Sus scrofa: one gene and its partner. The protein of the gene in region 1 interacts with the protein of each later gene in a pairwise test. Links are inferred from orthologs where the notes say so. Each region holds a gene or a part of one and is shown in the gene's direction. Other genes may lie near its edges.

What was found.
Region 2: the proteins of IPO13 (region 1) and PBX4 interact in binary tests that used the Homo sapiens proteins (3 or more experiments, as listed by UniProt). The link is inferred for Sus scrofa from reciprocal best matches to the Homo sapiens genes IPO13 and PBX4.

The regions. Positions count from the first base shown.
Region 1 is NC_010448.4:167,327,073-167,331,088, reverse strand, and holds the end of IPO13 (importin-13), read left to right. Parts: intron 1-2,305; coding exon 2,306-2,372; intron 2,373-2,459; coding exon 2,460-2,518; intron 2,519-2,671; coding exon 2,672-2,761; intron 2,762-3,053; coding exon 3,054-3,235; intron 3,236-3,328; coding exon 3,329-3,425; 3' UTR 3,426-3,502; downstream 3,503-4,016. UniProt on the Homo sapiens protein: Functions in nuclear protein import as nuclear transport receptor. Serves as receptor for nuclear localization signals (NLS) in cargo substrates.
Region 2 is NC_010444.4:58,301,646-58,305,904, forward strand, and holds the start of PBX4 (pre-B-cell leukemia transcription factor 4), read left to right. Parts: upstream 1-1,420; 5' UTR 1,421-2,054; coding exon 2,055-2,587; intron 2,588-4,259.

The DNA.
Region 1 (4,016 bases):
AATTCAATTTAAGCCTATTTTTAGCTTTCTGTTGACAAATTTTTTTTTCTGTTCAGTTGAATAGAGTTTCTTCATCTGTTTCCGTGGAAGTTGACAACACAGCATCCTCCCTTAGTGTCCCTTTGCCTCAACTAGCTCAGGCTTCCACAGACCAGGGAGAGGCTGATCCCCCAGGGAGGGAGCTGGGCCGGCCTCGGGGGCGGTGGGGCAGGGAGGGGGCGGTAACTGTGCCCAGCAGCTCCTGTGCGGCTGGGGTGCCCAAGAAGGTCAAGGGCAGGACCAGAGTTGAAGGGCCTGGGGGCCGTCGTCCCCGTGCTCCTGCCGGGAACTGCCTGCCTCCGTGCCCCCCGCCCGCTCTGGAGAGGTAGGCCGCCAGGAGCTCCGAGGGAGGGACGGTGCTGAGTGCGCTGCGGTGGAGCCCAGAGCTGGGCCGTCAGACAGGTCGTGCTGCTGCTGGGAGGCGGGGTGCTGGCTCCTTTGTGAGATGCGTTTGCCGTGTGTTGGGCTTTATGTGTATGTCTTGAGTTCGGCTTGGGAAGGGAGCAGAAGTCACATGTTGCCGTTGGGTGTCAGGATAAATGTGTCGTTGGCGTGTGGGCGTGTGTGTCGTGTGTTGGTGTGTGTTAGGCCCTGGTGGGTAGTCTTCTGAGGTGTGTTGCATTTTCCCTATCACAGTTGATTTAAGGTGTCCTGTCAGTTTCTGCTGTACAGCAGAGTGACCCAGCCGTTCGTGTGTACACACACATTCTTTCGCTCACGCGATCCTCCATCGCGCTCCACCCCAAGCGGCAGATGCACTTCCCTGTGCTCTACAGCAGACTGATGGCTTTGGACTGTCGATGTGTGTTGGAGGCGTGCGTGTTGGGCTGTGGGAGGGCGTGTTACGGGGCGCAGGCAGACACGCTGTGGTGCTGGCTGTCTCTATCAGGGGTTGTGTGTTTGGGAAGATATATGTGTCGGGCTGTGGGGATGAGGGGTTGGTGTGACGGGGGCTTCTGTGAGTTAGGAATTTCCTGCGGGTTGGGGTACCTGATGTTTCTTTGCCTACTCACTCCACAAATGCTTTTTGAGTGTGAAGCACATGCTGGATAGTCTGCTGGGTGCTGAGAATGGTGAGCAGAAGCGGGCACAGCCCTTACTCTCCTGGAACGAACCCACCGTCCAGTGGGAGAGGAGGAGAGGAGTGGGAACGGGCAGTGTGTCCTGGGTCCGGGTGGACGTGTGTGTGTGTGTGGGTATCCGTGAGGGTGCCGTCTCTGGGAGAAGGCATCTGCGTGTGTATCTGTGAGTGTGTATGGGGAGAGTGCAGCTGCTGGAGACCTGAGGAGGTTGAGGGTACAGGTGTGTGGACGTGGTTTGGGGACACGTGGTTGGGGGAGCTGGGTTGTGAATACATAGCGAGCGTGTGTTGCACATCTGGGAGAGTGGTGCGTACAAGGGATGTGGCAGAGGTGTGTGGAAGAGGGTAAGTAGGGTGTGTGAAGTGAGGGTGCATGGGGGGCTGTGTGCACACGCGTGAACCCGGGGGAGTGAACATGCAGGGGTGTGAGGGCTGGCGGGTTAGGGGTCCGTGTGGCGTGCGTTGGGGGCTGCTGGAGAACAGCAGTGCTTGAGGACTGTGGGAGCTGTGCAGAGCATCTCCTGTGGCCTGAGGATGTGCCAGTCCTGGTACCACTTGGGGTGGGCTCTCTGCCCCTGTACTCCATCCACTCCCCGCAGCCTGGCAGCCCTGGCTTCCGGGCTGGGTCCAGTGGAGAAGGGCCTGGGCACAGGGCCTCTTGAGGAAAAGGGGCGGCCTGGCCTCCAGAGTCCTGCCCTGCTTTTCCTCTTCCTGAGCTGAAGGGTGTCTCAGGAATGCAGGTGGGACACAGGAGTGGGGCTGTTGGTCCAGCTGCCACCTCTTCTTCCTGCTGCCCTGTTAACAAACCCATGGGGGCCTCCACTGCCCTTGTGAATCAAAGCAAAGCTACTGCTGGCAACCTGGAGCCTGCAGGAGGTCTGGCTCTGATAGTGGGGGTGGGGTGGGGAGGTGTTTGCTCAGGGGTGACTCGGGACCCAGACTTTCTGCATCGTGACCCCAACCTCCCATTCGCCTGTGCACTCATGTACACATACACGTGCGTAGCATCCCTCGGCCACTCCCCTCCGGACCTGCTGAACTCTGGTCCCCCAGAGACGGCCGGGTGGCTGGTTTTGGCAGCCTCTCCTCGTGGTGTGTAAAGTTGGGGCCTGGGTGGCAGGTGAGTGGGGGGGAATGGTCCTTGGAGCTGGCCGGGGCTGGGCTTACCAGCTCCACATCCTGCAGGCTCTGAAGCGGAAGCCCGACTTGTTCCTGTGTGAACGCCTGGATGTCAAAGCTGTGTTCCAGTGTGGTAAGTGGGGCCAGGGGCCAGGGGGGCCTGGGGCCCCCTTGGGAGGACGCTCGGGCCCCATCTCATGTGTCTCTGCCTCTCTCGCAGCTGTGCTGGCCCTCAAGTTCCCCGAAGCACCTACTGTCAAGGCCTCCTGTGGCTTCTTTGTGAGTCCCACGCCAACCCTTAACCCCCCGCCACCCCTATACCCAGCCTGCCCTGCCCAGGACTCCAGAAGGTCAGGGTGTGGTGTGCTGGTGTCGTCTCCAGGGAGACAGGGGGAAAGAGCGGGGGCTGACGGGCCTCTCCACCCTCTGTAGACAGAGCTGCTGCCTCGCTGCGGGGAGGTAGAACCTGTGGGGAAGGTGGTACAGGAGGACGGCCGCATGCTGCTCATAGCAGTGCTGGAGGTGAGAGGGAGCAAGCGGGGCACGGAGCGGGGTGGGGCGGCCTTCACTGCGGAGGCAGCTGCCCTCCTGGGGAGCTTGAGCCTCTGGCTCCCTAAACTCTCCGGTCCTGTTGGTTCATCAAGCAAATGGCTGAGAGCTGTTAGGCTGCTGTGAGGATCAGCGGGCTCTTAAAAAGCACGCACTGTTAGGTGCATTGGGCTGAGAACCTGTCAGGGGAGTGGGTGCCTGTGGCTGGGCATCCTTCCTGCAGAAAGGCCAAGGCCCTGGTGTGCTGAGAGCCCATCTCCCTCAGGCCATCGGGGGCCAGGCCTCCCGAAGCCTCATGGACTGCTTTGCCGACATCCTATTTGCTCTGAACAAACACTGCTTCAGCCTCCTGAGTGTGTGGATCAAGGAGGCACTTCAGTCACCTGGCTTTCCCTCTGCCCGCCTCAGCCCTGAACAGAAGGACACCTTCAGCCAACAGATTCTTCGGTGAGCAGAGCTGGCAGGGCCTGGGCTTGAGCCGGCGGGGGGCAGAGGAGGCCAGGGTGGATGTGCTAACTTGCTCTCCCTTTGCTCCTTCAGCGAGCGGGTAAACAAGAGGCGAGTGAAGGAGATGGTGAAGGAATTCACACTTCTGTGCCGGGGGCTGCATGGCACAGATTACACAGCTGACTACTGAGGGGCGCCCCCGTCCCGCCCACACTTCCTCCTTTACCGCTCCCAGCCCCCAAAGAGTAAACCTGAGTCCTCACTGCACTGCTGTCTCCGCTTCCTTTCCACTGCCACTACCCCCTAATGGGGTGACCTTGGAAGACCTGGGGGAAGGATGGGGGGATGCTGGAACCCAGGCCTTGGTAGGGAGTGCTGGGGCCAACCTGTAGCTCCTAGGGTGGAAGGGGCACTGCTCTAGTCAAGCTGCCTAGGCGGGAACCATTCCGAGAACTGCCCTGCCCTTCCGGCAGGTGGGGACTGCAGTGGTGTCCAGTTAAGTTCGTCCCATTATTCACGCATGCACACATTGATGTAATCAACAATGCTGAGTACCAAGCCTCTCATTCTGTCTCAACAAAGGCGACCTAGTCTCAAGCTGAGCTGGGGGAATGGGACCCGTGAGGAGGGCTGCATGGAGCAAGTTTCATTTCTGAAGGGAATAGGTGTTTCCTAGGTGGAGGACTTGGGGCTTTGGGCTGGAAGTGAGATGGGGCAGGTCCACTTGGGAGGGAAGAAATGCGGAGTAGCTTTGAATTCCAGGCTGGGTTTCTTGTGCGGG
Region 2 (4,259 bases), on another chromosome or scaffold:
ATTTTAACACAAGCCTCCCATTAGAGGCCAAATTCTTAAACTACTAAAGCATGCATTGCAAAAGAATCAAAAACATGTTAGTCTCTCTATATTAAATGGGGCTGGGTTTCCCTTTAGGAAAACCCCCTGCCCTACAGTAGCTCTGTGAGGAGACAAGAATGAAGTGGGGGGAGTTCCCATCTTGGCTCAGTGGTTAATGAGTCCAACTAGGAAGCATGAGGTTGCGGGTTTGATCCCTGGCCTCACTCAGTGGGTTAAGGTTCTGGCGTTGCTGTGAGCTGTGGTGTAGGTCGCAGACGTGGCTCAGATCCCATGTTGCTATAGCTCTCGTGTAGGCTGGTGGCTACAGCTCCGATTAGACCCTTGGCCTGGGAACCTCCTTATGCCGCAGGTGTGGCCCTAGAAAAGGCAAAAAAAAAAAAAAAAAAAAAAAAGAAAGAAAGAAAAAATGAACTGGGGTACTAGGTTCAAGGTAGGAAGCCTGGCTTCTTGGGCCTGGGCCCTGAATCTCCAGAAGAAATGACCCAGTCCAGCACTTTCCACCACGTGGATGGACACACACCTGTGAAAGACACAGTCCTTGTCTCCATGGAGCTCTGGGCCTGTTGGACAGAAGTATCACTTTGAGTGCCAAGACAGCCAAGCACTTCCTATGGGGTGGGAGCCCCATGGTCTTCAAAGCTTACCTGTTTCACCTTCTCTGAGTTGGCTGCTCTTGCATCAGAATCTTTGAACCTGAACTCCCCTGGTTTCCTTTGAGATCTTGTCCCATCAGTTTTTTTCTTCTCTTGTAGGTCTCTCCTGTCCACCAGATGACTTCAAGTTTTTGTCTCATATAGTCCCTGAAGCTTTCAACCTCTCCTCCAACCACTGTTCTGTGACAGATGCTAAAATTATCTACTACTTTTCAGGCCTCCTGTGTGGTCCTGCACTAGTGGCTGACCTTTTGTACAAGGTACCAGCTCTCCATGCTCCCCACATGTTCGAGTACTTCATGTCACTGGGGCCAAGTGTCCGGTTTCCTTTATTAGGGAGCTTACTGTATTGTTCTTATACTAGCCCACATCAGTCATTTCTAGTCCCTTTGGAGTGCCCAAATCCAGTCATACCGTTTGGAGTTTGCATTTCCTCTCCAACAGCAATGGGAAGAATATGGACCCTGTCTTGAAGGGTTCCCAGGAAGTTGAGGTCCTTTTATGAGCCTGCATCTGGACTCTGTCTTCAGAGCAGATAGGCTCTAGGAGGTCCTGTGTCTTTGGAGAAATGATTTATGCCCGATCTGTTCCTTTTCTCTTGCACAAGAATCCTTCCCTGATGCCAGAAGTCCTAACAACTAAAAACAAAGGCCTGTGAAGATTCCCTCTGATTTGGGGTACATCCAAGTGTAGGTCATCAGAAAGCATCCTTCATGTGCTAGTAGAATATGCTGTAGAGCAAAAGAATGAACAAATAAGTGAGGTCATTCTTAAGCTGGACCTTGGAAAATGAATAGAATTGACTTTTGCAGCTGAGAACATGACTCAGTTCTAACCTCCCAGTCACCTTCATCATACCCGTTCCCATGCCCACCCCCAACCAATGGAAAATGGAACACTAGGGGCAGGGGAGGGGGAGCTAGGAGGCCAGGAGCCCAAGTCACCCACCTGACGGGACTGAGGCTGAGGGGAGCATTAGCTGACTGAGGAGGTATCTGGGGCTCAGGGCTTCCGAAGATGAATGAGGGGTGTTGATGGGGCTCTGAGAGGAATGGCGGGTGCAGTCTGAGAAGGAAGGGGTGTCTTGGAGGAAGAGGGGTGGCCTGAGAAGTTAAGACTCTAAGATGTGCAGATCCGTGAGGAGTGAGGTGCTCTGAGACATGGCAGCCTGTGAGGAAGAGTTGGGGGAGAGAGGCGCCCTGAGAAGTGAGGTCCCCAAGGAGTAGGGGCTCTGAGGAGAGTTGAGGGCCTCTAGGATGTTGGGGCTCTCTGGGAAAGGAGGGCTCTCAGGAGCTGCGGGGGTTGTGAGAAGTGTCTCTGAGCAGGAATGGTTGCTCTGAGGGAGTATAGGAGGCAGAGATGTGGGAAGTGGGGGGGGTCTCTGAGGAAGAGCAAAGCCAACGTTGCGCTCTCGGGGCCTGGAGGAAGGTGGGAGTGGAAAGCGTCGTTGCCTTGGCAACCCCCCAAAAATGTCCTGGGTGGTTGAGAGGGGCAGTTAGGGGAGTACTCGTGCGCGGGGCGCGACGGCTTGGCCCGCGGCTGTTGGCTGGCGGCGATGGTAGGGCGGGTCCCTGGGGTGGGGCGCCGTCGCCGGGCTGGCTGCGGTTGGCTGGAGGCGGCGGTGGGCGGGGCCTAAGCCCGCGCGCGCGGCTCACAGACTGCAGCAGTTGGTTAGGGCGCCCGCGCGAGCTCTCTAACCTCGGCGGCTACTGGTTAGGTGCCGGCCCGGCCCCGCAGCTCATGGACGCCCAGCAGCACCCCTCGCACCCCCCGCCGCCGCCCTCCGCCCCGCGCCGCCCGCCGCCCTCGCCCCCGCCGGACTCCGACACGGCCGATGTCCTGCAACAGATCATGGCCATCACCGACCAGAGCCTGGACGAGGCGCAGGCCAGGTGCTGCGCGGGCTGGGCGGGAGTCACCTAAAGTCGCTTATTGAGGGGGCGGGCGGAAGGGCCAGGGCTGGGATGGCTGGGGCCGTGAGGGGTGAGGAGGGTGCAGGGTGAGAGATGGGGTGAGTCTCTGGGCGTAGAGAGGGAGGGCACATGTGGAGGGGGGAGGGCTTGAGGAGGACGGAAAGGTCCTTTGGCTCTGAGGCCAAAGGGATGTACCCGGTTAAAATGAAACGGATTGAAAGGGAGCTTATGGAGCTAAGCAGTGGGTGATGGGTTTTAGGCGTTTGTCTTGGGGCGAGGGGGAGTTTGTGGATGGAAAGTTTATGGAATGTAAGGGGGAAGAGGAGTGTTGGGGAGGGAGTGTTAGGGCTAAGAAATGGGCGCACATGCGATTTGTGAAGGATGAACGAGGAAATGGATCAGTGGGATTTATGAGGATGGAAAGTTTGGGAGGGTAGGTAATGGAGAATGAGTTGTGGGAAATGGGATTCAGGAATGAAGAGATGAGGTGATTTGGTGTGGGAACCACCCAAAACAAAAGGTTAGTGGGGGAAATGGAGGACCCCTTTTTTTTTTATTAATTTGGCAAATATTAATTAGACCCTAAGTGCAGGGCACCAAGCTGGATGCTGACATAGTCACTGCTCTCAAGCTCATGGTTTGAGGAAGAAAAAGTAAGTAGCAAAAATAAGTGTAAGTTGTGAGAACAGCTTTAAGTAAAGGGATGGTAAGCTGTAGGAAGCCAGGTGGAGAGGGCACAGCACCTTCAGAGAGGCGCCAAGGTGGGAAGGGCAGAAAGAAAGGAGAGCCAAGGGACAGAAAGTCCTGTAGAGTGGAGAGAGTCTGGAACTGAATCACATGGAGCCTGCAAGTCTCAGGAAAGGGTTTGGATTTTATTTCAGTTGCAGTGGGAAAAACAGGGGTTTTAAGACCACCTGTCTCACTGACCCCCACCCACCACTTGTTAGTGAGCCAGGATTAGTAGAATGGGCTTCACAGAGCACCCCACTGTGCTTGGAACCTGTTTGAATTATTAGAAAGAAAGAAAGCACTGAATGACCTCCTTTTGGAGGACAAGGCCTTGTGGAATGGGACCTGTTTGGGTGTAAGGGATGATCCAGGTAGATGGGACTAGGGTCTGATGGTGTGGACTATGCCTCTTAGAAACTTCTAGTGAGGAGGGCTTGCAAAGCCAGGTGAACAGCAGCCCCAAAAAAAGGAGGAGGCAAAGTAAAATCTGTATATGACCTGCATTCATTCTTCAAACACTCTTTCCTTTGCTTCTTGTGGAATGTCAACTATTTCTGTAGTTTTATGGCCTCTCTCTGGAAAGTTAAGAGTGTCACACCCCCACCCCCATCCCCACCCTCACCCCCACTAGAGCATGGTGCTGGGTGCTGCTACAGAAACCAAGATGGCTAAGATATTCTCTGCCCTCTCAGAGCACATTCAGAAGTAACTCAGGGTGTGTGGGAGACTAACTTATAAGTAATTTTCATAATAGGTGCACTGGGAAGTTCCCGTCATGGCTCAGCAGTAATGAACCCAACTAGCATCCATGAGGATGTAGGTTCAATCCCTGGCCTCACTCAGTGGGTTAAAGATTTGGCGTTGCCATGAGCTGTGATGTAGGTCGCAGATGAGGCTCAGATCCCATGTTGCTGTGGCTGTG